4 linked regions of the Arabidopsis thaliana genome follow. The protein of the gene in region 1 binds, or shares a complex with, the protein of each later gene. Each region holds a gene or a part of one and is shown on either strand. Other genes may lie near its edges. The genes, in order: AT4G01310, AT1G29070, emb2394 and RPL4.

What was found.
Region 2: AT4G01310 (region 1) and AT1G29070 share a complex: the UniProt entries of both Arabidopsis thaliana proteins name them as parts of the 50S ribosomal subunit.
Region 3: AT4G01310 (region 1) and emb2394 share a complex: the UniProt entries of both Arabidopsis thaliana proteins name them as parts of the 50S ribosomal subunit.
Region 4: AT4G01310 (region 1) and RPL4 share a complex: the UniProt entries of both Arabidopsis thaliana proteins name them as parts of the 50S ribosomal subunit.

What each region holds. Positions count from the first base shown.
Region 1 is NC_003075.7:540,792-548,619, forward strand, and holds AT4G01310 (Ribosomal L5P family protein), read right to left. Parts: upstream 4,776-7,828; 5' UTR 4,690-4,775; coding exon 4,444-4,689; intron 4,156-4,443; coding exon 3,955-4,155; intron 3,870-3,954; coding exon 3,727-3,869; intron 3,574-3,726; coding exon 3,375-3,573; 3' UTR 3,120-3,374; downstream 1-3,119. Other genes in the region: AT4G01290 (chorismate synthase), read right to left, coding at 1-72, 693-973, 1,102-1,210, 1,374-1,570, 1,910-2,112, 2,226-2,333, 2,421-2,491; ATSTE24 (Peptidase family M48 family protein), read left to right, coding at 5,114-5,144, 5,840-5,987, 6,071-6,155, 6,242-6,337, 6,434-6,499, 6,586-6,684, 6,830-6,943, 7,038-7,148 and 4 more. UniProt on the Arabidopsis thaliana protein: Binds 5S rRNA, forms part of the central protuberance of the 50S subunit.
Region 2 is NC_003070.9:10,145,910-10,153,762, reverse strand, and holds AT1G29070 (Ribosomal protein L34), read right to left. Parts: upstream 3,973-7,853; 5' UTR 3,880-3,972; coding exon 3,666-3,879; intron 2,868-3,665; coding exon 2,608-2,867; 3' UTR 2,356-2,607; downstream 1-2,355. Other genes in the region: AT1G29060 (Target SNARE coiled-coil domain protein), read right to left, coding at 4,304-4,465, 5,104-5,160, 5,598-5,721, 5,845-5,906. UniProt on the Arabidopsis thaliana protein: This protein binds directly to 23S ribosomal RNA.
Region 3 is NC_003070.9:1,500,440-1,508,178, reverse strand, and holds emb2394 (Ribosomal protein L6 family), read left to right. Parts: upstream 1-4,325; 5' UTR 4,326-4,440; coding exon 4,441-4,475; intron 4,476-4,917; coding exon 4,918-5,217; intron 5,218-5,327; coding exon 5,328-5,664; 3' UTR 5,665-5,928; downstream 5,929-7,739. Other genes in the region: GLR3.4 (glutamate receptor 3.4), read right to left, coding at 1-155, 262-293, 373-650, 729-2,062, 2,186-2,537; AXR1 (NAD(P)-binding Rossmann-fold superfamily protein), read left to right, coding at 6,404-6,489, 6,582-6,754, 6,849-7,012, 7,265-7,375, 7,500-7,579, 7,694-7,739. UniProt on the Arabidopsis thaliana protein: This protein binds directly to 23S ribosomal RNA and is located at the aminoacyl-tRNA binding site of the peptidyltransferase center.
Region 4 is NC_003070.9:2,245,476-2,253,203, forward strand, and holds RPL4 (ribosomal protein L4), read left to right. Parts: upstream 1-3,491; 5' UTR 3,492-3,714; coding exon 3,715-4,546; coding exon of another isoform or gene 4,547-4,551; exon of another isoform or gene 4,552-4,697; coding exon 4,698-4,714; 3' UTR 4,715-5,054; downstream 5,055-7,728. Other genes in the region: AT1G07300 (josephin protein-like protein), read right to left, coding at 439-818, 1,341-1,530; AT1G07310 (Calcium-dependent lipid-binding (CaLB domain) family protein), read right to left, coding at 2,300-3,358; AT1G07330 (dentin sialophosphoprotein), read left to right, coding at 5,656-6,793, 6,880-7,640. UniProt on the Arabidopsis thaliana protein: This protein binds directly and specifically to 23S rRNA. May play a role in plastid transcriptional regulation.

The sequences.
Region 1 (7,828 bases):
AACTGATGTTCCATTCACCACATTAATGCCTTTGGAATTTAAAGGACTCCGCTCATATTGAGAAGTTTCAGTCTGCATATGGTGTGATAACCAGTAAATAATAGGCGCCACCAAAGATACATTCAAACACAGCATACATTCAAACAAAACATTTACGAAGAAAAGATAAATTAAAACAAAAGCCACCACACTCAAATTTCAACCCTCACTGATCTGCAGTAAGCGAATGGAAGTGGTAGATAAAGAGACCACAGCCTTGGATCACTTACACCCAATGACGGAGTTATTGAAGGAATTGGCTTTATTTATATTTTCCTAGTTTACTTGATATTCAAGGCAATAAAATTTATTTCCTCTATTCCCAAATTCTCTTACTCGGCACGACTTGCCTTCTATAAGATAGAATAAAAAAAGTATGTTCAAAGCTTGTCACTAGTCAGAAGAACTAGGCGTGCGCTTTTCCTTTTGACTTTACTGTCATGAATTGCAGAGAATCATTCTATCAGGATTTGCATAGTTCTTGTAACATATTCCCCTTTCCAACTATTATCATAAAGCCCCTCTATTTTGATATTTCTTCTGGGATTTTGCTATCCTTAAGACTTTAACAATCAATATGCAAACAAAAATGAAACCTTCATGGAACACAGATATTAGGTATGGATGAGGGTCTCAGAAAGATAGCGACTTACTTGAGGTTTTTCCCCTTGCTTTTTTTCCAAAATTGTGCTTGCAAAACCAGGAGGTACAAGCGGTCTGGGTGCATTACTTTGAGAAGGCAAAGAGGTGTTACTAGAACCAGGAATTGTTGGAGCGTGATTGACTTCATCACTTCTACTTGGACGCCCTTTATCATCTTTGGACTCCCCAAGAAGTTCAGTAAAATCAAAGTCGTTTTTGCGTAAGTCTGGGTTTGATTTTTGTCTCTCCTGGAATGCTTTTTGATGTTCCTTCCTCAACAACTCAAAAGAAGCTGACAGAGAGTTGAGAATGTCAATTAAAGATTGACACAAAAAGAAACGCATGGATTAACTGAAAGAAGTGCACAAATTGGCAGAGAGCTAAGTTTAGTACAGATCAAAGTCAATAGATCCTCTGTACCTCTTCTTTTTCTTTCTTCTTCTGCTCTATCTTCACTAGTAGAATCAGAAGAACCAAATGTTTCATCATTGAATGAATCTCTAGCGTCACGTCTAGTGAAAGGTGGCGCCTACAAATGTACATGAGAGATTTATGAATCTATGCCGTTAAATCATTCAAATACACCTCACAAACCAGCTGATGAAACCCAGTAACGTGATGGAGCAGTATTCAAGAATCAATGGTACCAGAGACTATTCAAGATGACTACAGCAGATATTTGGGTACTTAACCTTGTATGGGCGAGGAGGATGGTAAGGTTCATTGGTTCTACTCAGCTGATGTGAGTCATTAGATTGAGGTCTAGGGGCAGATGTTCCCGCACCAAATCCAGAAGGCTTAGGGAAAGAACCTTTCCCAAGAAGTCCATCATGCTCAGGTGCTTGCCAAGACCTCCGAGATGGCATACCAGAACGCCTTCCAGGCTCTCCTAACAAAATACACAGTTCCAAATCAACTATAATACACCCAAATTCCAGAATTTTTCGAAAAGACCTTCTTTTCATGTTCACTAGACAAGCAGACTTCATGCCATTCACTTTAGTTAAAAAAAGGTGGAAATCTACATTTACGCATATTGAACAGCCAGATGGATAGAGTTGAAATCATAATAATGAACACTTTTTTGCAGAAAGACATAATTCGTAGGAGTATTTTATAGGTCATATATAACAACAAGGTAACTATTCAGAATACTAGTCCACCTTGTTACTGTAGTAACGTCATCATACAGCATGTAAAGAATAGGATACGAGTAAGCTCCGGCTACCTGAGTCCCGGTCTGACTGTGAATCACTATCTTTATCATTCCATCCACCAGAGCGCCCTTCCCATCTTCCATGGGTGCCTCGAGAGTTAGTACCTAATTCCCCCCTGGTGGGAGGCGATGAACTATAGTCATTCCGCCTGAAACCATGCGACGAAAAATCGCCTGAAATTCTTGCTCGCTCGGGTGAAGGATCTTCGAAGTCACTACTCAAATAAAGAGTGTACAAATCAAGACATGTCACTCCAACATGATCAAACACATTTACACAGTTTCTAGAAATCCAAACTAAAAAAAAAACTATCGGATAGAGTCTCACAGCAACAGTGCTTCATCAAATTCACCAGGCAGATTTGGCAGCTTCTTGCAAACGTCTTTCTCGCTCAAGGATATAAGAAACTTCCTCGTGTATGTAATTCTTGGTTTCCTGAAAACAATTGCAACTGCAGCTGAGAAATGTACAATAAGCAGCAAAACAGAGACATGGATTTTACAAAAAACAGAAAAAACATACTTTTCCGAATCATCATTGGTTTCGACAAGTTGATCCATGGCAAATTGTTGTTCATTTGCTATACTCATCATACAATGCACAAAAATCTTAGCTGATTGAGGCCAAAAAACACCAGTATCTCTTCTTAACGCCTTAATCAAGTAACTCTACAGTAGTTGTCTATAGTAAATACCGTGAAATATGATTCTTCGATATTACAGTAACCACCAATAATATCTCAACTAGCAAAACTTAAACCACGATTCACCACCACGCAACTTCATCAGGATCTAGCTATATGTACAGTGAAAGATTTCAGAGAAGAGAAATTACAGCTCAAAGCCAAAGAAAACTAGCTCATCCTAAACTCACAAGGCTTTAATCTCTCGTATCGGATTCTCTCACCCAACCAAAATAAATAAAAACCTCAAATCGGGAAAAGATGAAAACAGATTATAACATTTCTGCAGTAATCTAAGGTCTTCGACAGCTAGGGTTTTTAGCGCTAATGGGGAATTACATGGATTCCAGAATCCATCAGAAAAGGATAATTAGAAAGAAAAAAAAGTAAGAGTCGCCGATTCTAGAAGAACAAAAGGAGAACGGAGAAACCAATTAGGGTTTCGATCTGCAGAAAGATAATTTTGCTGTTGCTGTTTGTTTTGATCGATTGATGATGAAAAAGAGAAGATCGAAACCAAGTCTTACAAAGAAGAGCGATTTCTCTCAAAGGGGAAGGTAAAATTGACAAATCCACGCGCTAGCTTTTCACGTTCACTCACGCGCTACATTTTGTATAATCCACAAAACTTTCAATAAATTACAGAAAAACCTTGATAAATTTTTACCATAACAACAAGATCCCTGATATTATTTTCAAATTGACTCATAAAGCATTACAAAAGGAGATGGTTTTTCTGAAACATGAAATGGTTGGTTACAGAAGACGATACATACAATAGGCAGCTATGTTCATCATCTCTTTCCTTTTCCTTTAGCATCAAAGTGATGAGACTTTAGTTTCTTCTTCCGCACTATCGCGCCTGTGCTGCCACCACCTCCTTCCCTGAAAGGCATTCCCATTAGAGCCAATAGTTTCTGTCCTTCTTGATCGCTTTTAGCCGTTGTGCTGATGCATACATCCATTCCTCTCGTTTTTCCAACGGCATCAAACCTAGAGTGTAATAAACCAACCAACCAACATAGAGTTTAGTTGCTCGGTTGTAAACAAAGAGTGGGACTAAAGAGAAACCATGCTTGATCTTGTTGAACCAGCGGATAACAAGTTAGTAGTTTTGATTTTGAGGGTAGATACAATAGAACTAACCTGATTTCAGGGAATACACCTTGGTCTTTCACACCAATACTGTAGTTTCCGTTCCCATCAAAGCTACTGGGACTCACACCTTGGAAATCTCGAGTTCTCGGAAGGGCTAAGTTGATAAGACGATCCAAGAAGGAGTACATTACCTGTCACAACAGTCAAAATCACAAAATGTTAATACATAAATAACTCAAAAGGAAAGTTTGATTAGTCAAGAGAAATATAGCTCACATCTCCTCTGAGAGTGACAGCAATCCCAAGAGGTTGATCTTCCCTGATCTTGAAAGTAGCAATGGAAGCTCTAGCTCGTGTCTTAATAGGTTTCTGCCCTGTGATAAGCGCGATATCCTTCATCGCAGCCTCCAAACCCTTGTCGTTCTGCGCCGCATCTCCAATACCACAATTCACTACAATCTTCTGTACCTTTGGAACCTGGTAGAGAAGATGTCCAAGCAGATATACAACAATGATGAGATTGACAAATTCACATTCACATTTGTAAATGGCACATCCCAACAGCACGATTTTATCAACACAACAATCTTAAATCTAGGCTTCTTCACTACATTTTCTAGAAGAAATCAATTCAAACTTATCATTAAAAGCAAATTAGGTTTAACATTCGCTCAAAAAATTCGAATTCACTGAGAATTAGACTTCAATCAATCGCAACAGAACAAAAACTAGGTTTGAGCTCAGAGGGGAAGGATTTGGGGTTACCTGGTGAATATTAACGTACTTGAACTCTTCTTTGAGCGCAGGGATAATCCTCTCGAGGTAAGCGGTTTTGAGGCGTTGAGTTTTCTCGGCTTCAGATTTCTCGACCAGTACAGTTCCAGACGCCGAGACTTTCACCACGTTTCTGAGCGGCGGAGAGAGCATTCGTGCGGAGGATGGAGCCGCTAATGGTGAGAAACGTCCGTGAAACGAAGAAGCGGAAGACTGCAGAAGCGAAGGAGACGCCATTGTCGAAGCTCCAAGTGGATAAAGTGTGAAGTGAGAGCTCTCGGCGTTCGTTGTTGATTAAACCCAATGGCACCTTCGTAATTTGTTGACAGTTTGAGGATAAGGAGTTTTCCGTTTAGCCCCTTTAAAACATAATATTTCAACTAAGGCCCCAATATTTGATAATATACTATTATACTTAGAGATTTTAGATAAAATATAGGGGTTGTTTCATATGGGCCTAAATCTCAGCCCGTTTACTATTTGGGCTTCTAAGGTATAACCCGTACCCGTGTTTTTGTTGTTTTACATATCCACACCGACCTGAGAAGAGTCAAAAACGAAAAACCTCTCTTTTGTCGTTCCTCTGCTTTCTTCGATTTGCTTCTGCTTTCTTCGATTTGCTTCTGCTTTCATCGCGGTTCAGGTCACTCTTTTCTCAGCCATGGCGATTCCTTTCATGGAAACCGTCGTGGGTAAGCTTCAAAACCTTTTTCTGAGACATTTTACTATCCTGTTTCACTCATCGTATTTCGTTTTTGTTTGGGTTTTGCTTTCTGTGTTGTGTGTGTTGAGATTCCATGACTCGTTTGTTTCATATACCATCGTCTCTGCTTCTCGTTTCTAAATTTTGTTCTTTTCTAATAGTGCGTACCTTGATCTGAGGTTTTATTACTCCTACTAGTTTCTTGTCTTACTCGTGCGTTTGATTTGATTTGAGCTTATGTGATTTCATCATCTCTTCCTCGGTTTTAGAATGTACGGAGCTTCTCTGTTAACCAAAATCTAGGATTTGGGAAGAAAAGTCGGAGTCTTTTTTTTCCTCATTCCCGATTGGAAATTGAGAATCTTGAAATTTTTCTTTGTTCAAGTCATACAGCTTGAGGTTTTGGGTTTTCTTGTCAGGGTATTATTATGTTCGTGACTGCAACTAGAGTTTTCTGGAGTTTTTTGAAATGGGTTTTGTGTTGTGGAACCGTATGTGAATGTTGCATCAAAACTCTTTCAGTGCTCCAATGTTTCCATCAGTAGTCAGCACAAGAGATCTTTTTATATCTGGTTGATCAAAAAAGTAGATGATGTTATTGAATTTTCAGTGATGGAGTATCTGTTGTTGTGGCATTTAGAGTAGATTCGTATTTCATCTTCTGTTTTATTCTTTTTCTTACAGGTTTTATGATAGTGATGTACATTTTTGAGACGTATTTGGATCTGAGGCAACTCACTGCTCTCAAGCTTCCAACTCTCCCGAAAACCTTGGTTGGTGTAATTAGCCAAGAGAAGTTTGAGAAATCACGAGCATACAGTCTTGACAAAAGGTTTCGTCTTGATCATATTTATATCATTTTAGTTTTTTATAATTGCCAGGGGATATCATCACTGAGAACTTTAATATATGCAGCTATTTTCACTTTGTTCATGAGTTTGTAACTATACTTATGGACTCTGCAATTTTGTTCTTTGGGATCTTGCCTTGGTTTTGGAAGGTACATATCTGGTTTCGGTATACAGTATCTCATTTTGAATATAGAGTTGTTACATTACAATTGTAAAGTTTTCATTTTTACCTTAGATGTCTGGAGCTGTTTTACCGAGGTTGGGCCTTGATCCAGAGAATGAAATACTGCATACTCTTTCATTCTTGGCTGGTGTTATGACATGGTCACAGGTGTTCCAAATAAACCCCTTCATATAGTCCTATACGTTTAGCATCAAAATATCTATTTTCTTAAGATAATAATATTTCTTTTATATTCTGATGCAGATCACTGATTTGCCATTTTCTTTGTACTCAACTTTCGTGATCGAGTCTCGGCATGGGTTCAACAAAGTATGTCGTATTTCCAACACTACCTTGTGACTTACGTTTTTTTATCAGAGATGTGGATTAAATTTGCTTCTAAATTCTGTTGACAGCAAACAATATGGATGTTCATTAGGGACATGATCAAAGGAACATTCCTCTCTGTCATACTAGGCCCACCCATTGTTGCTGCGATAATTTTCATAGTCCAGGTTTGATGATTCTGGATTCATCTTATTTCTGAGTTTTTCACATGGATGACTATTCTCCATTGAGTGTGAGCTTCAAAGTTTTTAGTTTTCGTGTTAAAAATTTAAAATTTGCTTCTCTGAGCATGAAGTTTCTATCTTTTTCCAGAAAGGAGGTCCTTATCTTGCCATCTATCTGTGGGCATTCATGTTTATCCTGTCTCTAGTGATGATGACTATATACCCGGTCTTGATAGCACCGCTCTTCAACAAGTTCACTCCTGTGTGTATTTCTGTCATGGCCATTTTACAATTCACTGCTTGTTTGCATATGTTGTTACCAGACAATATAATCTCCCGCTTTTTTATGGCTATAGCTTCCAGATGGAGACCTCCGGGAGAAGATTGAGAAACTTGCTTCTTCTCTAAAGTTTCCTTTGAAGAAGCTGTTTGTTGTCGATGGATCTACAAGGTCAAGCCATAGCAATGTGAGAAGCTTGAGATCTCTTCCTACCTACTTTACTCTAGTTTACCATTAGAAGCTTACGTATCTTGTTACATCATACAGGCTTACATGTATGGTTTCTTTAAGAACAAAAGGATTGTTCTTTATGATACGTTGATTCAGCAGGTACTGTGACTCTTGATGCTTCAAACGAGCTATACTCACATTTCTGTTTCTGGTTCTGAAACATAACATAATCTTCTATTGTGCAGTGCAAGAATGAGGATGAAATTGTGGCGGTTATTGCACACGAGCTTGGACATTGGAAACTGAATCACACTACATACTCGTTCATTGCAGTTCAAGTGAGGCTCAACCGACAGTTCAAAAACTTACTCACATCTACATTTCACTTAAGAAATCATGTCTTATGACCCTCTCTCAATGTTTTGCTTGCAGATCCTTGCCTTCTTACAATTTGGAGGATACACTCTTGTCAGAAACTCCACTGATCTCTTCAGGAGTTTCGGATTTGATACACAGCCTGTTCTCATTGGTTTGATCATATTTCAGGTTTGTTATTTTTGCCTTTTGACACTAATCTAATGAATCAAGGATGGATTAAGAAAAAAAAACTCTAAACCTTTGGTTATATCTCCTGTCTGATTATCACAGCACACTGTAATACCACTGCAACATCTAGTAAGCTTTGGCCTGAACCTC
Region 2 (7,853 bases), on another chromosome or scaffold:
TCATATCAGACATCTTTCCAGGCATCCAGTAACTTATTATAGGGTTCCATTCACTAAACTTATAGCTGAAAACATCACATATTGTACTTGCCAAATCCGTGTACGTCGTTGTGTCTGTAATACGTACACAGCGTCCGAAACTTCCTTTTTCAGCTTCAAATTTCCAACCTTCTTCTTTGTATATCCACTCACCAACCATAATTAATACAGGTAACTCCATACCTGCAACATAAATTCCTCAGGTCAGAACAACATTAAATACAAAAGATATTTTTGAAGGCTTTCATTTATATCAACGAAGACAAAAAGAATCTCTAACAAAACAATTTATGTACTTATAAATTTAACAAAACAGATCATAGAGCTTTCATTTATATCTACAAATACAAAAAGAATCTCCAACAAAACAATTTATGAACCCAGAAATTTTTAAAAACGTATCATTACTTTCATATCACGTTCTCAAGTGTAATTAATAGGATTAACACGAATTTCTTACCCAGAACACAGATTGTCTCTCCTTCAATCCTTCAAACTTTGTAAAACAGCAACTGAAAACTTCAGATTCTTCACCGTAACACAATTTCGATTTTCGTTTTTTTCTCAGAATTCTAATCTCAATTATGTAAATATCTTACAATATAATCTCTATTATAATAGGTAATCATGAGTTTTAGTTTTGTCAAAACTTTTTAGCATGAAAAACTTCTGAGCCCAACCAATTTTTAAAATTTTTAATTTCAATCTCAAGTGTCAAATTCGCCGAAACCTAGAAAACATTTAATGCATTTCTCGTCGATGAACAGTGTACGTACAAATCCGGTTCTCTTGGATTCCAACGACGCGGTCCGTACGTACAAACCGGGTTCAGTTTCGTCAGGGGCATTTTGATCAGTTTTTGGCTGAATGGCTAAGAAATGAAAGGCCCAGCCCACAATGTCAAAATCTAAAATTAAAAGTGAGTCAACGGCTACTGTGCGCAATTTACCCTTTTTTTTAAACATCTTTTTAGGTGACTTTCACATCATGTGTCAGATAACTCTTATTTATAATGTAAATTTGAAATAATAATATTATTATATATTAGAAACTATCATATGAATATATAGACTATATATAATTTCCAACGGTTATGAGAAACCGTTTTCTCTTAAAATGCAATCCCCAAGGACAAGTTTGTTGGCGTGTCGGGATAACCAACAATCTGTTGGATTTGATCACTTTTGGATAATCTGTTTTTGGTGGGTTTTCTTTTCTCTTCATTCGATGGAATGTGTGTCACTAGTCTGGTTGCACTTTTCATCAGTTTTAAAGTGCATTTTGGTGGTTGGATAAGTTTGGAAAAATTACAGATATTTTCCATGTAATATGATGGATAGAATTCACTATATAAAAAAAAAAAAAATCGCGTGTTTGGACTTTAGCTGAGTTTAGTTGTGTTTTGCTCAATGTAAACATATATCAACCATTTCACGAACATCAATATGCAATAGAAATGGAATTCTCATGCCATCTCGTCCTAAGATCCTACTCACGGCTTTTACTAGCTACTAGCTAGTCCATCACATCATACACCTTTTAAACATAATAACGTATGTGAATTATGTTATGACCGGAGACTTTCCTTCCTATGAAGAGTTTGATGAGTAGAGGAGTGACACGGATCGAATATTTGATAAATAGCTCATTCATCTAGATAGGTTTAAAACTTTAGACTATTACATTGTAGACAAAAAAAAAAAAAAAAAAAAAAAAGGATACAGAGGCCTTTTATCGGCCCACCTTAAAAAAAGAGAGCTACAGAGGCCTTTTATAGACCCACTTTAAAAAACAAAGATATATGAATTTGAGATAAGAAACCTTATTTCAAACAAGAGAATAGTTTATTTTGTCCCACATCGTTTAGGTAGAGATAGTGATGGTAGTAACATGCCTATAAAAAAGAAAGAGCTAATTACGTAAAAGGCATGATCCTTCAGGCAAGTTAAAGGGGATATGATGAATGGTAAAAACTCGCTTATATTGCGAGAAGAGCGTTCCGCCCAAAGCCTGTTACGACTATTGGGCGCTCTCTTTTTTACACAATCTGATCCCTCCCTAATTTCCAATAAGAAGGAACTTTTCTTTTTTAGTTTTGGTTTCATTTTTCTTAACTAGTTTGTTTTTGGTGCAGTTTTCTTTTTAAGGGGAATATAATTTAGGGTTAGTACTTAAAAGTAATTGTTAGGTTGAAATAAAACTAGTAAATGAAAGTAAAATCCTTCAGGGATTGAACCCCAAACTATATACATCAACTTTCAGCAACCATTAACACTACTTGGAATCTGAACAATTCTTACACACCAGAATTATCCTGGTGGCCAGAAGAGATCTTTAAGTAATTATGGCTTTGAAGTTGAGACTTCGAGTAGTAACAAATTCAATGAAGCAAGTAGTATAGTAGTACATGTGATGAATTCCAAGAACATTGATTTATAAACGAATCAAGGATGCAAGAGAGTTAAAACGCAGAAAAGAGCTCAACGAACCATGTTTCTCATTGTATCTTCTGGTGGAAAAAAAGCACATGAAACAAGATTACAGATAGAGTGAAGAGAGAAACAAACTTCAAGCCCGTTTGCCGCTGCTAGGGTTGGACTTGGGACAGAGGTTCCAACGTCCCTTGGCACGTCGACGCTTTATGGTTGCTCTACCGCTAGTGGTCCTCATCCTTCTACGGAAACCATGAGTCCTAGCTAGAGATTTTCTTGATCTGCTTCTCTTAGTTTGACACAGAGCAGCTTTTCCAGCTCTAACCACAAGGCCTCTGCGTCTCTGGCCATTCAGTCCACTAGTTTGACTGCTGAGATCAAACGCAATGGACAAACCTGAAAAGACAGCAACACCATTTTGATCAATGTGACATTATAGGTTTGATAGTGTATCAAGCTGATAATATTGGAACCGGTAAACTCCTTCCTTTAATTACCCAAAGAACTCACCATACAATACCAAACTCTCAACACACTGCTCAGAATCAAGACCCAGACAAATCCAAAATGACTTTAATGCATTCTCCTAGGTTACCCTTTTAACTCTTGAGCTATAACCATAACGTCTGTTGCTAAATTGGCAAAGCTTATAATTCACTGCTCAAATCTTAGCCTAGCTACAATGGTCGTACAATATACTTTACAAGAAAATTATGATCAAAGGAGGAGGAACAAGTTCATGTGACATATTGAAGCAAATCTATAACCATTGTACCTAAATAATCGACATGAGCTAAAAGATTTTTGTACTAAAAATCAAACAACATTTACTTGCGGCTACAAATACATGAGCTAAGATATCAGAAATTGAGGCTTAAGTTGCAAAATGTTATCTTCACTTGTTGTTATAAACTTAACAAGAAATATCAGAAACAAACAAAATGGCTTCTTTCACTCACACTCCCAAATCGAATTCACCATTGACAACTATGTTTCACAATTCCCAAATTCTTCTAAAAAAGCTTCGAATATATGTGTTTGCAAAGTAAGCTAGAGCCTAACACACGAGAATAGTGATAAATCAACCAAACCCAAAGAACCAGAAAAAAAAATCAAAATTGGGTAAAAGAACTTGATACATTACATCACCAGAAGCTAAACACAAACAATAATTCGAACCAATTTAAGATGTACCAGAAAATGGAGACGCTAGGGAAACAGGCGACGAGAGAAACGAGCAATGAAGCAATTGCGAAGAAGCGGAAGAAGTGAGAGAGGACGAACTCCGTCTACAACCCGTACGCAGAGAAAGCGAAGCAGAAGGAACGCAAATCTTGCCGTTGGAGGCAGCAGGATTCCATAAACGCGACGAAGCCGAAGCTACAACGGAAGTGGATAAGGAAGCCATTCAAGTTCCCACTTCTTATCTCCAAACCCAGTTCCTTTGTTTCTCCGGTCTCCTTTACATAGTGTGGAACCTCTATCGTCTACGGACGATACCACCATAAACTTACGCATAAGAACCAACCATAATAATACACGTATCACGACACTTCAGCCCATAAGACTATAAAAGCCCAATACTGAATTGGACCGGACGGGTAATTAATCAAGTTAAGGCCAGATTTGAACTGGTCTAAAATATCTCATGCTGTTGTTCTGTGATACAATTTTGCTTCATGTAAACTGTTAAAAACAGGCACTCTATATAACAGGTAACGAGAAGAACCACAAAATGTTTGTAATCTAGAGGATATTTTCTACAACTTATCCAACATTCATCAAGGGTTTTTTTTTGGGGGGTAACACAAGTATGCCATGAGTCTCTCTATCTATCTTTTGAACATCTTGGACCACATGTAGAGGATAAAGAAGAGGAGGAGCGCGAAAAGAACTACGTGCATTATGTGGTTGTTACCACTACGGATTATGCTTAGGTTCAGTTTCCTTATGTTGTTCTTCACCCCTGCTTGCGCTCTGATCAATGTCATTTGCTGTCACAAACAAAAACAAAATACCATTGAAGCGTTTTATGTTTCAGACAAGAACAACATTTCGTCTACTTATTTTATTTTGCTTATAACAGCACTAAATGCTTGTTTCTGCAGTCTCACTACCAAATCTAGTTGTTTGTCATTATCTTCTCTAGGATGTTCTTCTAGGTAACAAAAGAAAAAACTAGAACGAACTAAAAGCAATGAACACATTCAACACCAACATTCTCATTGACAAAGTGGCAGGAACTCAATGATAAGCTGTAACCATTTCCTGCTGCATTTCACCAAACTAGGTGAGATTGAAGATATCTAATCCTACCCACCACCAGCGTTCAGACCAGATCCTAAGTAAACATAATCTACACTTTGGATTTATCAAGATTCATTGGTTTTGTAAGCTACGGTTAAAGTTATCTAACATATGTTAGGATGAAACTATATTTTCCCAACTAATAATGAACAGAGACATCTGAAACAAGTTATAGGAAACCGATATTCGGATATACTATATATAATCAGTGATTCATCTTAAAGGTAAAGAAGAGTAAATGAATGCATGTTACTGATGTTAAGTGCTTACATTGCAATTTACTATGATGGATAAAGAAAAAACTAAAGGGACATCAACAACATACCAGTTCATCTAAGAAGTCCCTCTGAGACTTTGCTTCTGACCCAATTTCTTGAGCAATCTGCATCAAAATAAGCGATCAACGATATAACAAAAAATCATGAGGGATAAATAATGCGCAAAAGTGCAAGGTAAAACACAAGGAATTGTAGAGAATGTCGACTGATTCCTTCAAGAAGGGTGGTGATATAAAACAATAACCACAGATGTATACAAAAGACATCAGACAAGTGGATTCAACTAATTAATCGTGGACTGACTGATAAGTATTGTGAACAATAACATTATCATAGTACCCTGAACAAAAAAACACCTACACAACTAATTAACCAAGCTCTAACCACTGTCAAAACCGAAAAGAAGACAAATTTCCAAATTCATATGATCAACTTAAAGCTTAAAGAGAACAATGATCCTTCAGAACCACAAGAAGACAATACAAATGGCACTATAGATAAAAAGTAGAAAGATCGAAATGGGATTTAGAGGGTTTCTTACATTTTTCAATTGCCTGACTTGGCCATGGAGACCTAGAATCTCATCATCCAGGTCAGAGTGCATAGGATCAATCCTCAGCTGAATTTCCTCTGAACCTGAAGCATTTCTAGTGCTTAGCCCTTCTCTACAAATCACACACCAAAGATAAATACTTGTACTTTACGCAGAATTCACCAAATCTAGGACCCGTTTTCTCTATCCAGAATCGATTTCAGAAAAGGAGAAACTGATAATATTAGAAATATACCTAGATCTATACGGATCAGCTCCGCCGTATAGAGAACCACCCGCACCGCGATTGGACGCCATCGACGCGAAATCTAATGGGTGTAAGAAACCCTAAATTCGAATCTGCTGGGGTTTGAGAAATTAAGTTTTGTATTCTCTCAGAAAATTCGAGATCGAGAAATTGCAACCAAAAGAAGAGAACAAATTTCAGGCAAATCAAAGAGAAAAACGACGACGATTGAAACAAGCTGGGCGGGTGCTCTTCGATTCAATGATAAATGACCGCGAGGGAACACGTGGCGTTTTAATATTGGTTGATTATCGTCATGTTTTTGAGTTATGTAAACAAATAAAGAATGGCAGTTTTGAAATATTCGTCAGCCAATATTTTTTGGTTTATGGGCTTTTTTAACGGGCCGATCCCAACTTTAGTGGACCACAAATTCATTCGTTCATAATGATGTCATTGAAAAAGAGAGGTATTTACTCTGTTCGTTCTACATTCGTTGTATTGTAAGCATCAACGATACCCAATTACACAAGAAAAATGTTGTTTTTTCATGATGGTGTTGTTATTTTCTAATTGTTGTTAACGAAGAGTAAAGATAATAGAATCGTGTTTGCATTGTAGTCGTTAGTTTATCCATCGGTATTTATTTTTAATTTTTTAGTCTTTTTTTAATATATTAATTTTTAGTGATTGTTAACCAACTGTTTTATAAACGTTAACGATATGTAGGCTAAATTTTCTGAATTAGCAACAATGTAACAAGCATGATTTTATCGCTGAAAGGTATTGTTGAACCAACAAACTACAAAACAAACATAATTTCATCATTTGTCACTGTTGTGTATCACTGATGAAAGCCAAACAAACATATCCTAGTTTTGGTTACAATATCTCAGTGTTGATATGATAGATGATGGTAAGCGGTAACTCAATTTTCACATAAAGTAGTGGTCTTGACTTGTTGTTTCTAGTTGGTTGGGGCTAGGTGTCATTGCAATCGTTTTGACATTTTAGTAGGATCAAAGAGGTCCAGTCCAACGAATTTGAGGTCTAGTACAGAAAATGAAAATTTTGAGCTTTAATTAACATTTTTATTGAAAATAAATATTAATTGGAAAATTTCTATTTTTTTCAAAAACTTGGACTTTTATTCTGTTTTATTGAAATATTGTCTGAATTTTTAAAAAGAAATGAGCGTTTGTCTTTTGTACTTATCTAACAAATGGTTTATGTCTTGTGTCATTCATACTTTTGTCCTCTCTATTTTGATCTGGTATGACGTTAAAGTGTTATCCATTATTCATACGGTCCATGTTGCATTGGACTATATATCTACTAGTCAAATTCAAACATTTGACCTTCCACCAGATCCTATCGTAATTTTTACGTGAGTTGTAGTCCTTTTTTGTTTCCTGAAAGCAGAATTATTGTACCCATCTTTTTAACAATGGTAAGAAGATTTACGAAAAATGGTTCAATGAAACGTTCAAAAACTGTGAACAGAAATTGATTTGCTAATGTAGTTCGGAAAAGGAGAAAATGGAAAGTTGGAGAATTTATATATTAAAAAAAAAAAAAAAAGTTGGAGAATGTTATTAAATCATCGCAAAAACTTGTTAAATCACTGATACAAATATTGGAGAATTTTACATTTTCCTTTCTGCATTATAAGCTTATGGTTATGGCTATCTTTGTGAGTAAATAAACATCTTTTTAATTATTATTTTTTTCATTTATATATTCGAAATTAACTAGATGAGGGATTTAGTAAACAGAAAGAAGAGTTGACATCATGTAAAATCGACCGACAGGTTCATAATGATGTCATTGAAAAAGAGAGGTATTGTCATATATGGTGTCACCGCTAGGTAACAGAGACGTACATTAGCTTATGTTGATGTATTGTCAGTTGGTTAATAAAGCCCACCACTACTTCACAACTTGGTTGACTTTTCGTTTTAGTATTCGATTTGTCATCATTAATTATCTCCCAAGAATTTAGTCCACCGAGTCGTATG
Region 3 (7,739 bases), on another chromosome or scaffold:
CGTTACCAAGCTATCTATTCCTTCAATCCGAGATGTCAGCTGTCGAATGGTTAGGATCGAAGTGAGACTGGCCGTGTAGCTCGAGTTGATGATCAGAACCACGAATAACCAAATGATCAGCACAAACCTCCCCAGTGAACTCACCGTGTTCTCCCCTGAAAGATTCAAAAGTTATAAAGTAAAAACACTTTACTTCCCTCCAACATTCTGTAAGCCCTGGTGTGAAAATCTACCAGGTTACTCGAATTATAGCGTACTTACTATGAGAGAAGAACATTGTTGAGAAGCTAAACCTGTAACAGTGAAGAGGAGAAGGAAAATAAGGTTTAAAAGGTAAACTCGGGCTCTAGTGTTAAGAACTGGGAAACTAACCAGAAGATGGTAATGAGTTGACGCCTAGGAGGGCCACGGAATTCTTGGTTGAAGCGGTGTTCGAGAATCCAGACCATGGCTCCCACAAAGAGAAAGAAGCCTCCAGTGACAGCCCACATCTCTATAGTGAATGGTTTCAGGAATGACCAAGGACTAGACTTGGCCTCCTTAACCGGAGCCACCACCACAAGCCCTGATTCTATAAACGGTTGTGTGAAATCTACATATCTTGTTCTGTTTGTGACGATTGTGATATCTCCTACAGCTACATCAAAATTCTGAAGAGGAAACATGAGAAAAGACAGGTTAGCATCTTCTGAAAGTTGTGAACTTGATTGAGTAATGTAGCTACTCACATCCGCAACAACTTCATTGACGAGGTTATCATAAGAAGGATTTCTCTTCCCGTCTCCATATAGTATATAAGTACGTGGAACAGGATATGGAAGCAATTCAATAGCGGCTTCAAAGACATCAATGCAGTAGCCTCTAACGCCAGGCGGGTTTTTATCCTTAGAAACGTAATCTGTATAGCTCACACGGTTAGGCACCCCGATTCTGAGCGGTTTTCCATTATTAGGAAACACCCAACCACGAGGAGGCTTAGTTACTTCTCCTGGATATATGATTCCTTTAAGACGCTGGTTTGCTGTAGATGTGTTTGGAGGCCTAGAGTACAAGGTCTCTGGATGGACCACAGAGAGACCCGAATGATTTGACCAGTACCCGACTGTGCGTGGAGCTGTACCTTCTAAGTTTAGAACTTCATAAGCCGGATTAACCCGGTTTCTATCTGAATCAAACTGGATTGGACCCGTCACACCAGTATGATTCATCCCAAGAATGATCTTCATAAACTTCTCTCCTTCATTGAAAACACTTAGTGCTGATAGCTGAATAGTGCTACCATTTGTTTTGTGCAGATTTGGATCGTTGGAGAAAGTTATGTTATTGTTTTCTCTGAAGAAAACATCGAGGGCACGAGCAACTAACCAAACAGAATCATAAGCATACATCGCATAAGAGTTAAAGCCATCATTTGGTCTAAGATTCTTCCATCTCGCCATAAACTGTCTTTTGACACTACTCTCGATTGTGTAGTGGCGAAAAGCAACCACTCCTTGCAAGAGATCCATCGTGTCTGAATCCACGTGCTCCATGGAATCCATAGCTGTAGGAAGCCAGTCTGTTGCGATCCAAACATAACCACTTGCCATCATTCCAAGAGATTTAGCCACAGAAAAAACGTTTAAACCAGAGTCAGGATTCACATGGACAACAAAAACCCGAGATTCCATCAGATTAACAGAAACCAACAAGTCTCTGATGGAGCTAGAATCTGCACCAGGAGTAATTGCAGCCTTGTAAGAGATCCTCGAGCGTTTCTTGGCTAATACATCGCCAAGGACAGATATCCCGTTCCTGCCACACTCATCATCAACGAATATCGCAATGACTTGTCTCCATCCGGAATATGATAGAAAATCTGCGATCGCATGCATTTGGAAGTAATCATTCTGCGTGGTGCGGAGGAAATAAGGAAATTGCAGAGAGGAGAGAGTCGGATCCGTTGCTCCAAATGACAAGAGAGGTACATGAAGCTCATTAGCTACATAGGAGATCATGTGAGCAATCCCTGAAGATTGTGGACCAATGGCTGCAACCACTTTGTTTTCCATCAGCTGCAAAGCTACACCATAAGATGAAACATAATCATCACTCATTCTTTGGGGGCATTTTCACAAACTAGTTCTGAGTTAAAAAGTTGGCCACAGTAGTAAGAGAGAAGAAGAAGGAGAAGCAGTATATATACCTCCCATGGTGCCGATAAATCCACTGCAATTTGAGTCTTGAAAGATGATATTAAGCTTGATGCCCTTAAGAACACTTTGGTCAGCATTAACATCATCCATAGCTGCTTTAACCGCGGGTTTAGCCGCTCTTCCGATAAAAGAATCATAAGTAAACAGAGCTCCAACATTCACAGAGCTTGGCCTCTGTCTTAATGGCCGCAAAGAAGAAGAAGAAGAAGAAGACGAGTTTCTAGAGAAATTACTTCTACAAGCACATTCCTTTGGAACAACCCACAAGACAGAAACACATAACAACACAACTCTGATTGCTTTCGCCATGGAAACTTCTCTTATCATCACCAAAAATCCCATCTTTATCACAATTTCCAGCAAAAGCACTAGTTTTTCTTTGTCCTGGTCTCATATAACCATTTGATTTATTTGGAGTAACACCTGCGAAATAAACAATGCCCAACCTGAATCAAAATTGAGATTATAACAAAAGACAAAAAAGATGGTCCAGAAATCTGGTGAAAGAAGGCAAAACCAACCAAGAAATCGGGAGTTAGATTCTGTAGAGAGATTGGTGTATACAGATTTTTGTGTCTGTATATTTATTTATAGTGTATAAAATAATGTATTTATATGAGGCCCTTTGATTCTAGAAACTGGTGCTTTACATGTGCAAGTAAGAACTGAAAATAATGAAGTGTAAGAGGGCCGTCTTAAAGATGGTTCGCAGAGAAAGAAGCAAAAAGTGTAATAAATAATTCAATGAACAAATAACTAAAGATTATATATGTAAGAACATAAAGAAAAACAAAAATTAAAAGATCCAATTGAGAAAAAGAAGAAGCAACCTTGGAATAAATACGAGAAACAAACTTTAATCAGAGATCCATAATCTTCACAAGTAAACGAGTGATTTAGCACTAAGCATAAAGAAGAAAGACAGAGAAAAGAAGTCGAAGAAGCAGAAGAAGAACTGTTTCTGAGCTCAAGCAAAGAATAATTCATAATATTCTCTCTCCTTTTTTTTCCCTATTTTCTTCCTTATCATTACTTATTTTTTTGGTATTTTATGAAATTTTGTAAATTTTGTTTTGGAGTGCTATTTCTGGAGTGGTCAGTGAAGACGTAGGCCAAGGTGTGGGGTAGTATGATCGATGCTTTACTTGTGTCCTCATACTATTCGATAAATCAAATTTTTACGTTGGCTCTTATTGGTAACTATCATTTATTAAGGTAGTTGATGCATTTTTCTTTTTGGTTACAACGGATATAGTTAAATGGTAATTAGGGTAACTACGTATGACATGAGGCAAAATAATAATTGAAAATGTGAATGTGAGGAGTGACGACCTAATTGCTCCAAGGCCGCCTTCGTCAAAGAATAAGTCTCCTCAACGGTTGTCAAATCAATTTCACACAAAAAAAAAAGAAAAGAAAAAGATATTTTCAGACATAAATAGTAAAGTAATTGTACTATTGATTTCATATGATAAAAGGTGCATGAAACACATGGTCGACTATTTTTTGTCTTTAGAGTGTTCATTAAGGAATGTTATTAAAAAAAACTTATAAGAGCTGCATTTGTTATTACATAGTTCCTTATTGAAATTTTCATTTGTTAATTGTTAACACAAAATAAAATATGCCACTGAATCCACAAATATCTTGTCGGTATCGAACTTTTTATTTATTTAGAACAAGAATATCTTGACCAAATGAAATGTGAACCAGGAAAATAAATATACAGTTCATCTTTTTTTTCTTTGAATCTTCTCAATTTGTTGTTTGGATTTTTCTGAGGGTAAGGGCCCATTTCATTTTTAAATTTGTCTGTTAAGAGTAGTTTAAAATCCATGCCTTTAAAAGATTCGACTTGAAAACATACTTAATCGGGAAAGATGCACAATTTTGATCCAAACGCATCTACTAATAATCTATTGACTTCATTAATCTAATCCAAACTCCACGTTCATTGGGTAAATTTTGTGAACAGTTATTATAATAATGGGCCTAGAAACAGTGAGATAATAGGCCATGATCAATATAGATAAATGGGTTACACAAATAATGAATTGTCCCACAGAAGGATGGTTAAAAGTAATGGGCCGAAAATAGTGAGCTAATGGGCCGTGAAAGTAATGATTTGAAAGAGGGGATTACAGAAGCTGACGATGGATAAGTCTTTTCTGGATAAAACGCTCTTCTTCTTCTCTTCATCCTCCTTCTGGAGCAGAGCTTAGAGCTCCATCATCAAATCTTATCAATGGCTTCCTCACTCGTCTCATCTTTTCAACCCAGGTACTTTTCATATACTACAAACCATAGAGCTTCTTCATTCCGCTAGGGTTTCGTTTTCTTTACTTGGCATTTTCTACTCAAAAATCTCTATAAACTGTGTTCATGAGCCTCCCAAGTATAAGGAATCTCTTTGAATGGGTTATTTTTATCTTTTTAAATCGATGGCAATGTTGAATTGGTTATGGACTCTTGAAATTGTGGATTTTTATTTTGGGAATTTGAATGTGTTATGCGGAACTCACTGTGTAAAAAGCAGGATTCTAGAGGGGTTTTTAGCCATGGAAACTGAAAGTTCTACAAGAATGTTTCTCTTCCTTAATCTAACGTTATCTTTGTTCCAATAACAGTTTCTGTGTATTGGTTTAGATATATATCTGGTAGAGTTTTACTTTCTTGACATGTTTTATCTGAAGATAGATAGATAACTTCCCCTTTGTTTTAGGTCAGCATTTTTGGGAGATAGAAATGTGTTCAAGGTCTCAAGCACACCTTTTGCTCAAGTGGGTTACTCCAGTAAGACCATTGAGTGCAAAGAATCAAGGATAGGAAAGCAACCGATCGCTGTACCTTCCAATGTAACCATTGCATTGGAAGGTCAAGACTTGAAAGTGAAGGGTCCATTAGGAGAGCTGGCTTTAACTTACCCACGCGAAGTTGAGCTTACAAAGGAAGAATCCGGTTTCTTAAGGGTCAAAAAAACCGTCGAAACTAGAAGAGCCAACCAAATGCACGGCCTTTTCAGGTTACAAACTTCTCATCTTTTCTTGTCATCCAATGAAGTCCTTAACTTTTTTGAGGTTAAAAGATCGTTTGTTCTCTAATCTTTTTTTTTAACTTCTGTGTGACTTTTAGGACGCTTACCGATAACATGGTTGTGGGAGTATCAAAGGGATTTGAGAAAAAGCTTATACTTGTGGGTGTTGGTTATCGTGCAACAGTAGACGGAAAGGAGCTGGTGCTAAATCTCGGGTTTTCACACCCGGTGAAGATGCAGATACCGGATAGTCTGAAAGTGAAAGTGGAAGAGAACACAAGAATCACTGTGAGTGGATACGACAAGAGCGAAATCGGGCAGTTTGCTGCAACGGTTAGGAAGTGGAGGCCACCAGAGCCATACAAGGGGAAAGGAGTCAAGTATTCCGATGAGATAGTTCGGAGGAAGGAAGGAAAAGCTGGAAAGAAGAAATGATCTTCATTTTTCATTATTATCTACTTACTTATCTCTTCCTTTCAATGTTTATGTGTATTTGCTCAAATTTGTTTAGAAATGAAGATGTTTGTGTTGGGATTCTTGAGTAAGTTTTTAAAGGAACCCATTAATTGTTTTTGATGCTCTGACAAAAATTTCTTTAGTGCTTTGATTGAACAAGAACTTGGGCACAAAGTGCCTCATCGGTGTGATTCTATTGTTATGTTTCCTTATTGAACCAAACCAATCCAAATCGGACAAAAATCATGGTAGATAAACTTTTTAAAACAATTTTTTAATCTATTCTTCTTTTTTTTAATTACAAATTTTCTTATTTTCTTATATCTAAAAAATCGTAACAGTAAGATATTAATATCTGTATTCTTAATTTGGTAGATAACTTTTTAAAAAACGAAAATTTCCTATAAGAATAATAATAGTCGGAAATAAAACAAAAAACAATATCATGGTGATTATTCTTATTTGCTTATATCTTCTTCTTTTTCACAATTTTTTTTTAAAAAAAATATTTACAAAATTTTCTTATTTGCTTATATATATAAAAAATCAGTAAGATATTAATATCGATTTTTTAATTTGGTAGATAACTTTTTTCAAACGATAAATTTCCTAAAAACAATAAAATATTCGGAAATAAACAAAAACCCTGATTGAAGAAAAGTCTTTTTGTTTATCAGTTCACCGGAGGCAAAAATCGTCTCTCGCTTGAGCTGCGAAGATGCAAGCAGTAAAAAGATCCAGGAGACATGTTGAAGAAGAGCCAACAATGGTAGAACCTAAAACCAAGTACGATCGTCAGCTCAGGTATACATACTCTTTTTCCTTAAACTCTACTTCGAACTACTCTTGTCGGGAGGAAAATTGATGAAGTAGTAATCGTTGGGTTGACTGATTAGGATTTGGGGGGAGGTAGGTCAAGCGGCCTTGGAAGAAGCGAGTATCTGTTTACTCAATTGTGGCCCTACTGGTTCCGAGGCTTTGAAGAATCTCGTACTTGGTGGTGTTGGTAGCATCACCGTTGTTGATGGATCTAAGGTTCAATTTGGTGACCTTGGGAACAATTTCATGGGTACTGACTAATTTTGAAACTTTTTGATTGTGTTTCTTCTGGGGGTTTTGGGGGACTTGCTTGCGTTATGATGATTTTTTTTTTTCATGTGAAGTCGATGCGAAGAGTGTTGGCCAATCAAAAGCCAAATCTGTTTGTGCGTTTCTCCAAGAGCTTAATGATTCTGTTAACGCCAAGTTTATTGAGGAGAATCCAGACACGTTGATTACTACTAACCCATCTTTCTTCTCTCAGTTCACTCTCGTTATAGCCACTCAGGTACCATTGTTTTTCTATTTGTAATCTTCTCTAATGATTTGTGTGTTACAATTTTTCAAAGTTCTAATCTTTGCTTACACAGTCACTCACCATGGATCATGATACCTTCTATTCAATGTTCTTTAGTTAGTTTCTCATATGTACTTTTCCTCGTCCTCTTCACGGGATATTGCTTTATTAGGCTTCTTTTTCCTGTGTTATTGTTATTTAAGTTCGTTATTTCATCCCCTTTTCGACATTGATTGGTTGCAGCTGGTGGAAGATTCAATGTTGAAACTTGATAGAATCTGTCGAGATGCAAACGTTAAGTTGGTTTTGGTTCGCTCTTATGGCCTTGCTGGGTTTGTTCGCATCTCTGTAAAGGTAATTAATACCACCTGTCTAGACCCAATTTGTGATAAAGTTTAGATTACTTTGTGGTATGCCGTGGTTAGGATATTGGCCAATGAGAATATATGCTAAGCTCTCTTCTTTTCTTTTTTATCAGGAGCACCCCATAATTGACTCAAAACCTGATCATTTTCTTGACGACCTCCGCCTGAATAATCCATGGCCTGAACTCAAGAGGTCCACTGCTCTCATATCCTCTCACTTTATGTTGTTCTGGCATCCTTTAACATTATGGTTGTGGATGGACGACTGAGTACTTACTGATATTCTTAATTATTTAATGAACGGCAGTTTTGTGGAGACCATTGATCTGAATGTATCAGAGCCGGCCGCTGCA
Region 4 (7,728 bases), on another chromosome or scaffold:
CTACTAACTGTTAGGGTAAACAAATCAGTGGCCATGCTTTATTTATGAACTTTCTTGGATAAACTATTTTAAATTTACTTTTTAAACTAAAGCATTTTTACTACATAATTAATAAAATGATAAAATAAGTCACACACGAACATTTTAATTATAGGAACATCTCAGAAAAATATGTATTATAGAAAGAGGAAATTCGTTTATTGATAAAACAGAAGTGGCTTATCCTTGTAACTAATCATGAACAAATACGAATATCAAAATCTAATATTTATAGACAGAAATTGAGAAAGATGGAAGACAGTTACTCGTACTACAACAACAGAAGTCACATAATAGATTTATGTAGACATTATTTACATGCAACTCTCACGAATAAGTAAAATAGACAATACGCGAGCGAGCGAGCGACCGAGACAAAAGGTTTGGGAATGATAACACTTAAGAAGTAGAGTTTGATCTGGTGAAGGAGGATGATGAGTTGATGAACTGTATGCAGTCTTCTATGGCCTCTGATCGATGACTGTCATTGTTTATTGGGATGATTGGTGGCTGAGACCTCCCAGAAAAAGAAGAAACCTTCGACGGTGGAGATCTTTTCTTCTTCCTCATCACCACCAGACGCAAACCTTTTGCAAATTTGCATCCAAGATGCTTGATCAATTTTGCTGCTGTCACTTCTGTTTTCCTCGGTAACCTTAATCCGCAGCTTGTTGTGCATCCCGGACTCTTACCATAAGGTCCCTTGATAGCTGTTTGCTTAGCCGAAGCATCTCTCTGAACCGGTCTAGTGTTGAGGTTGGACCGTTTTATACCAGTAGCTGACATATCAAGAGAAAGATAGAGAGAGTGAGAGAAGTTTATGGGAAACAATATGAGGATAATGAGAGATATTTAACGGACTGGTGCTGAGAACAGTTGTGCTGATAGTTCAGGCAAATACGGGAAAAGACATGAAATGATTAATGATGTATATTATCTATAACATCATTACGCTTAGGCCATGATTAAGCACTCAAGACATAAACAAATAAACAACTAACAAAAAAGTGTAACTTCAATCTTATTTTAGACCCTATATATAAAAAGACTTGTAGTTAAAGTGGATCTACAAATTTATAAAGAGAACTATGCCCAAGAGCAAAAAGAGAAGACTAGGTTTAGTTTTTTCTATTTTTCTTTACGGTCCACAGAGGGAATAAACCCTTTGTTTAAGTGAAGAAAAAGGTTAAGCAACCATTTGGTATCATTCTTCTTTGATGATCACTCATGTGTGCACATAAGTTACATAACAATCTAAAAAAGTTTCTTTTTGACTCCAGGAGAGGCCAATATAATCTTACCTTTATGGATGCAGATTCCTTTCATGAGTCTGCGGCTACAATAAAAAGGAGGGATCAAGGAAAGAACAAAAAAACAAGTTAATGGTGGGTACAAGAATATGAGAAAGCATATAATAAACCAGGGAGTGTCAGGACATAAATAGAAGATCACACAATCTGGAGAATAGAGTGATTTTACATGTGAAAACATTCCATTGAGAACAGAACAATAATACCTGCATGATTGTCAGTGATTAGATGCAAATAGCATGAGATTGACTGATATGTATAGCAGGTTACCAAAATGCCAAAAGGGAAAAGAATGCAATAGCAAAACTGCTCTGTCTCATCGTTATAACAAGAGCACAATAGACTTAGCACCAACCGTGTACATACCATTTTACCCAAAACGATCAGAGAGAACATCTTTTCTGCACTGTGATGAGCATGATTCAAGACACATTAATCCAAACGCTCAATGAATATGGAGATCACTGGTTCCAAACGAAAATCACACATTGGTATCATCAAACATGAAATAAGAACCAAAGTCTTTAACCAGCCTGCAAAAATATTCGGCAGAATCGCAGGATATAGGACTGTTCATGTCTGAGACAGAGCATACTACCATACCTAATCAGAGCATGGTTCAAACAATAAATCAACAGTAAAGTGATTCACATTAGAACATTAACCCTAAGAACCCAATAGCTTGATTCAAGAAACTGAATGAAGGAAAGAAATGAGAGATGTTTTAGAAACATGTACAAAGGTACAGAAGGGGTAACACCGAATATCAGCTAGAAAGAAGCAACAAATCAATTCACAAACGAGACATACATATAGACATAACATATACTTCACCAAATTCATATTTTGTCATCAGCCATTTCCTGGTGTTCTAACACCAACAAATCTGATGATAAGTAAAGCCTTAGAAACGCCGCACACTTGTGAAATTCAACAACTTTTTGCCATCCTCAACATTCACGGCGATAATCACGGCCATAGCTGTAGTTTGGCCTAGCTCCGAAATCACTCTCAGACCTCTCTGCAGCAGCTCTCTCTTCCTCTAAGCTCAATCCACCCATCGTCTTCTGCAACTGCCTGTGATCATAAGGAGAGTAATCGACTGGTGCCGATGGACCATTAGGCACTCCGTAGCTAGACAATCGCGAGCCCATAGGTGGAGCTTGTGGCTTGTACTCGGTAACCAGAAAGGCATCAACGGGTGCTGAGGGCCCACTAGGCGGTGGACCGTAGTTAGAAAACCGAGGAGGAGCTAAAGGAGGCTGCTTGTGATCAATCGATGAGAAGGCATCAACGGGAGCAGATGGGCCACTTGGGAGGCCGTAATTGGAGGCACGATCGTACATTGAACGTGGTGGAGGAGGCGGATAATAATACCCGGAATAGTAGTGATCAGTGAATGCGTAAGGAGACGGAGACGGTGACTGTGAGAATTCTCTGTAGTCACGCTGAGGAGATGGAGCGGTGATCGGTGCTTGAGGAGGAGGAGGAGGAGGAGGGCTAGGGGAGTAATAATGGTTTCCTTGAGGGGCAGAATAGTAATCTAGTGGTTGAGATTGAGGACGTGGCGGAGGATGCTGCGGTGGAGGGATTGGTCTGTCTTTGATCGCGAGCTTCAAACGAATCTTCCCCTGTGGTCGACCCGATGGACGAACCAGCTCGAGCGAGTTGATCAATTCCGGAATCATTGACCCGTCCGAGTCAATCAAACGAGCTAGAGGAAACCTAACCGATCCGACGAGGGTTTTCGCCAGATCCGAAGAATTGGAATGAAAAACCTCGATGTTGAGGACCGATTCGTGGACAGATCGGGTGAGAGGAAGAGTAATCCGCTCGTTCCACACCGGTTTGATGGAGGAGGAATCATCGGAGCGGGTGGAGAGAGGGTGGTCTTGGTCAAGATACAGAACAACGTAGGGTTTCAGGTCACCGTTACGCCAGTTGACATTCTTCAGGTGCTTGGCAGAGACGACGGTGACAACCAGGTCGAGTGGCTCCGACGAAGTCATGAATACGGTGCGTTTCAAGACGAGACGGTGGCTTACGCGGTGGTCTTAGCTAACGTGCGCTCGTATCTCAAATATCTGTATCAAAGTCTCAGCTATCATCAACTATCATCGTTTTATCACAGAGTTTTATGTCTCAAAAAACCTGCTGGCTATATAAGAGGCTTTTGACTTTTGGAGTTTGACTCTTTCTTACTAGCGACAGCTGGAGTTATTCATGAACAGGATAGTTATATCCTTATGTCCAAACAGATGCATAAATTCTCACCAAGCACAAGATAGGCATTTGAAGAGTGGATAACACTTTCTCAGTCTTTCTTCTTCTTCTTCGTTGTGATAGGTCAGGTCAGGGAACAACAATGGCTTCTTCTGCAACAGCACCAAATTCGCTATCTTTCTTCTCATCTTCTCTCTTTTTATCCTCCTCTCACCAAATCCCTAAAACCTACATTTCCGTTTCAAAACTCGGCTCCGGCAGAGTCTCGAAGCCGCTTTCTGTCTCTTCCCAGCTAGCGACTCTACCGATTCTATCATTCGAAGGAGAGAAGGTCGGAGAGACGTATCTAGACCTCAAAGCGGCGCCGGAGGATACCGCGCGTGCCGTTGTGCACCGAGCCATCGTGACGGACCTGAATAACAAGCGGCGAGGTACTGCTTCCACACTGACTCGCGGTGAAGTTCGTGGTGGTGGAATTAAACCTTACTCACAGAAGAAAACTGGCCACGCGAGGCGTGGATCTCAGAGAACACCGTTACGTCCCGGTGGAGGTGTGGTGTTTGGGCCAAGACCTAAGGATTGGTCAATTAAAATCAATAGGAAGGAGAAGAAGCTAGCGATATCTACGGCGTTATCGAGTGCGGCATCTGCGGAAGGTGGTGCGATAGTGGTGGAGGAATTTGGGGAGAAGTTTGAGAAGCCCAAGACTAAAGATTTCTTAGCTGCGATGCAAAGGTGGGGATTGGATCCCAAGGAGAAAGCTATGTTCTTGATGATTGATGTGGATGAGAATGTGGCGAAATCGAGTAGGAACATTGGAACCTTGAGGATGTTGACGCCTAGGACACTGAATCTGTTTGATATTTTGAACGCTGATAAGCTTGTTCTGACTCCTGCGGCTGTGGAGTTCTTGAATGCGAGGTACGGTGTTGATGCGGTGGAGGAAGAAGATGACGATGAAGATGAGACGGAAGGTTAGTGTTTTCTTGAAAGGAACTGGCTTGTTGTCGAAATTTGATGTTTTGAATGTTGTGTTTGATCGTTTTTGTCTGGTTTTAATTTCTTGAAGAGGTAGAAATATGATGTGTTAATATGGAAAAGTAATTATTTGTTTGTGTTATGAAGGGTCAGAGGAAGCTTAAGAATGAGTAGCACCCGTAGTTCCAATTGCTTCAAGTGTGGCTTAATTATGAGTTTAATCTTGAGTACATCTTCTCACTCTCCTTGATGAGGTCTTCTCTTTCCTTTTTGTGTCACAACAAGAGAAATGTGTATTTACTTTTAGAGTTTTTCTTAAGAGATCATCCTCAATTTCTTGTCATACTGATTTTGTGTCCAACTCTCAATGAAGGAGTAAGGAGTGAAATTAGATATCATGAGTAACGTTGATTGTGTGTGTATCAGTTAAGATTGAGCAACAAAGATTGACTTTAGTCATCAAGTTAACAAGAAAGAGTGGCTATTATAAGCTTTAAGCGTTGATGTTCATCTTGGTTTTGAAAATCATGAATAGTCTCACACAAATCTGTTAACAACTTGCTAAAAAAAAGGATTAGCTAGAAAACTTAGGAAGTGTCAATAGTGTATGTTATTTACAGACATTTGATGGGTCTTGGTGGGCTTAAGAAGATAGCCCAATCTTTTGAAGAAAGAGATATGAGATGCAAAATCCATGAACTTTAAGGGTCAATTTCTGAACCAGTAAAAAATGTGGTTAAAAGTGTAAGAAAACAAGAATCTTTGGAAACATGTGTAAGAAAGCAACTAATTTAACTCCCGCCCTCTCTTACCAGTTTTCTATTTTGTCTTCTCCGTCCTTACCGTGTGTTCTGAAAACTGAAAAAGAACCAAAACGAAAATCTAAAAAAACCCTTGAAAAATCTATTTTTTATTGACTGGTTATTGTTTCAAATGAAAGCTTGACCTCTCTCTTATTGATCAATTTTCGCTTCTTCAATTAAACCATATTTGTTTTTCCCTTTCAAGCATTTTGATTCTCTAGGACAAAACACAAACCGCCATAGACAGAATGCTTTGGGTTATTATCTCTCAAAGTGTTCTGAGAATTTGAACTGTTTAAAACATGGGAATCGATGCCAAAGATGTCGGAACTCTGTTCTGGAAAATTCTCAGATTTTCCACGAACATCGTTTATAGAAACGTAAGGAATCACCCAGTTGTTTCTGGTGTTTCTGCAATTATCTTCCTCCTATACATTTTTCTTCCACGCCTTTTTTATTTCGTCCTTTACTCTTCTCCGTTAATCGCATGCTCTGTGTTTTATCTTCGGAATCATCCAAGTTTTAAGCTTTTGCATATCAAAACGGATAATTGGTTTTCACCATTTTCCCAAAAGAGATCTGAGGAGGAAGAAACAAGGAAGGCTGACTTAAAGCACCAACGAAGTGTTCGACGAAACGCTAGAAGGAAAGTTGAAGAGGTTGGGAAAGATTGGGACTCTTCTCAGGCTAGTGAAGATGAGAGAGACAGAGTCATTTTAACAACTCTCTATGGTGAAATTCCCAATACTGCAAAATCTCCCAAACTTCAGAAATTCAAGAAAGATGGAGCCTTTCTTGTGTCTGAAGGTTTCTCCTTTGAGCCTAGCTTAGATGAAGAAACTCTTTCAACCACCGGGAATGTTTCCGTTGTGGATCCATCGGAGAGGTTGACTAGTGGTGGTGGCGAAACCGAGATCGAGTGTTCATCGTCATCAGAAGGCGAAGAAGAAGAAGAAACTACACGTGAAGACAAAAAGATTGTAGCTTGGACAGAGGATGATCAAAAGAATTTGATGGATTTAGGAAACTCTGAGATGGAACGTAACAAGAGGTTAGAGCATTTGATTACTAGAAGAAGAATGAGGAGATTAGTCCGACTTGCCGCTGAGAGTAGCTTAATGGATATGGAAGTTCCTCCAGTCTGTGTTGGACGGAACTATTTCGGTTTGGATCAAGAAAACTATATAGTTGATGGTCTTCAAATGCCTGAATCTGCACCTTCTGTGTTATTACCAACTAAAAACCCTTTTGATATTCCTTATGATCCACAAGAAGAGAAGCCTAACCTCTCAGGAGATAGTTTTCAGCAAGAGTTTGCAGCCAACCCTAATGATATCTTCTTCTGCCGCCATGAAAGCTTTTGTCGCAGAGTCTTTCCATTGGACAATCAGCTTGACACGAAATGGGAACCGTGGAAAAAGAAGTCAATACCACAACAAGGTACATCCTCTTGTCATTCTGAAAAATGTTGTAGCTTACAAAGTAAATGATTCTAAGTTCTACAATTCTGATCCTTGCTCATGTAGGTAGCAATGATGGATTGGTTGGGGAGAAACATCCTGTAATGAAAGGAAAAGATCTAACAAGAGGAGAAGTAAATGATATGGAGTCAGAACACATGACAGAGATTGTTGTTAGTGATTCAAACTCATTGCTTTCTCCTGAAGACAGGGAAATGAATTCTGATGTCTCAAATCAAGCATATTTTTCTGGAACTTCTGGGAAAGGAAATGGTGATCTTCGTGTTGAAAACCCTTTAGTTGGTTTAGTTCCTAGAAACACTGGTTCGCTTTCGAGTTCTTTAGCAGCGGAAAGGCAAAGATACGTGGAGCATTTTGGTTATAGCTCAAAAAAAGGTCATAAGTTATCTGTAGAATCTGATCTTCAAGTTGAGGTTTCTGAAATTGGATCACCTCCCACTACAGTTGATGGGAATAATTCTTCTGATGAAGAAAAATCACGTATTGTCAACGAATCAGACATTGGGAAGGAGACGGGATTTAGTGGTGAGGAGAGCATTGTGGATAGAACTGAAGAAACTCAAATGTTACCAGTGGAGAAAGTTGATAAAGATTTAAATGAAACGATTTCTAAGGTCTCTCCAGAAACTTATGTAGCCAAACAAGTTGAGGGTCTGTCTGATGGTACTGATATCAACGGAAGATCTGAGGAAGAAGAGAGCTCAAAATCCGGACGCTTTCCACTGGAAAATTCAGACAAAGGATTCTATATACATGAAGAGTCAACAGTTCCTCACATCAATGAAGTTATTTCGAGAAGAGAAGAGGTTATATAGTTCTTGTTCTTGTCAGGTTTTATGGAAATATGATTGCTACTTGCAATGTGTTTCTCAAAATGTTGAATTTGAATATATT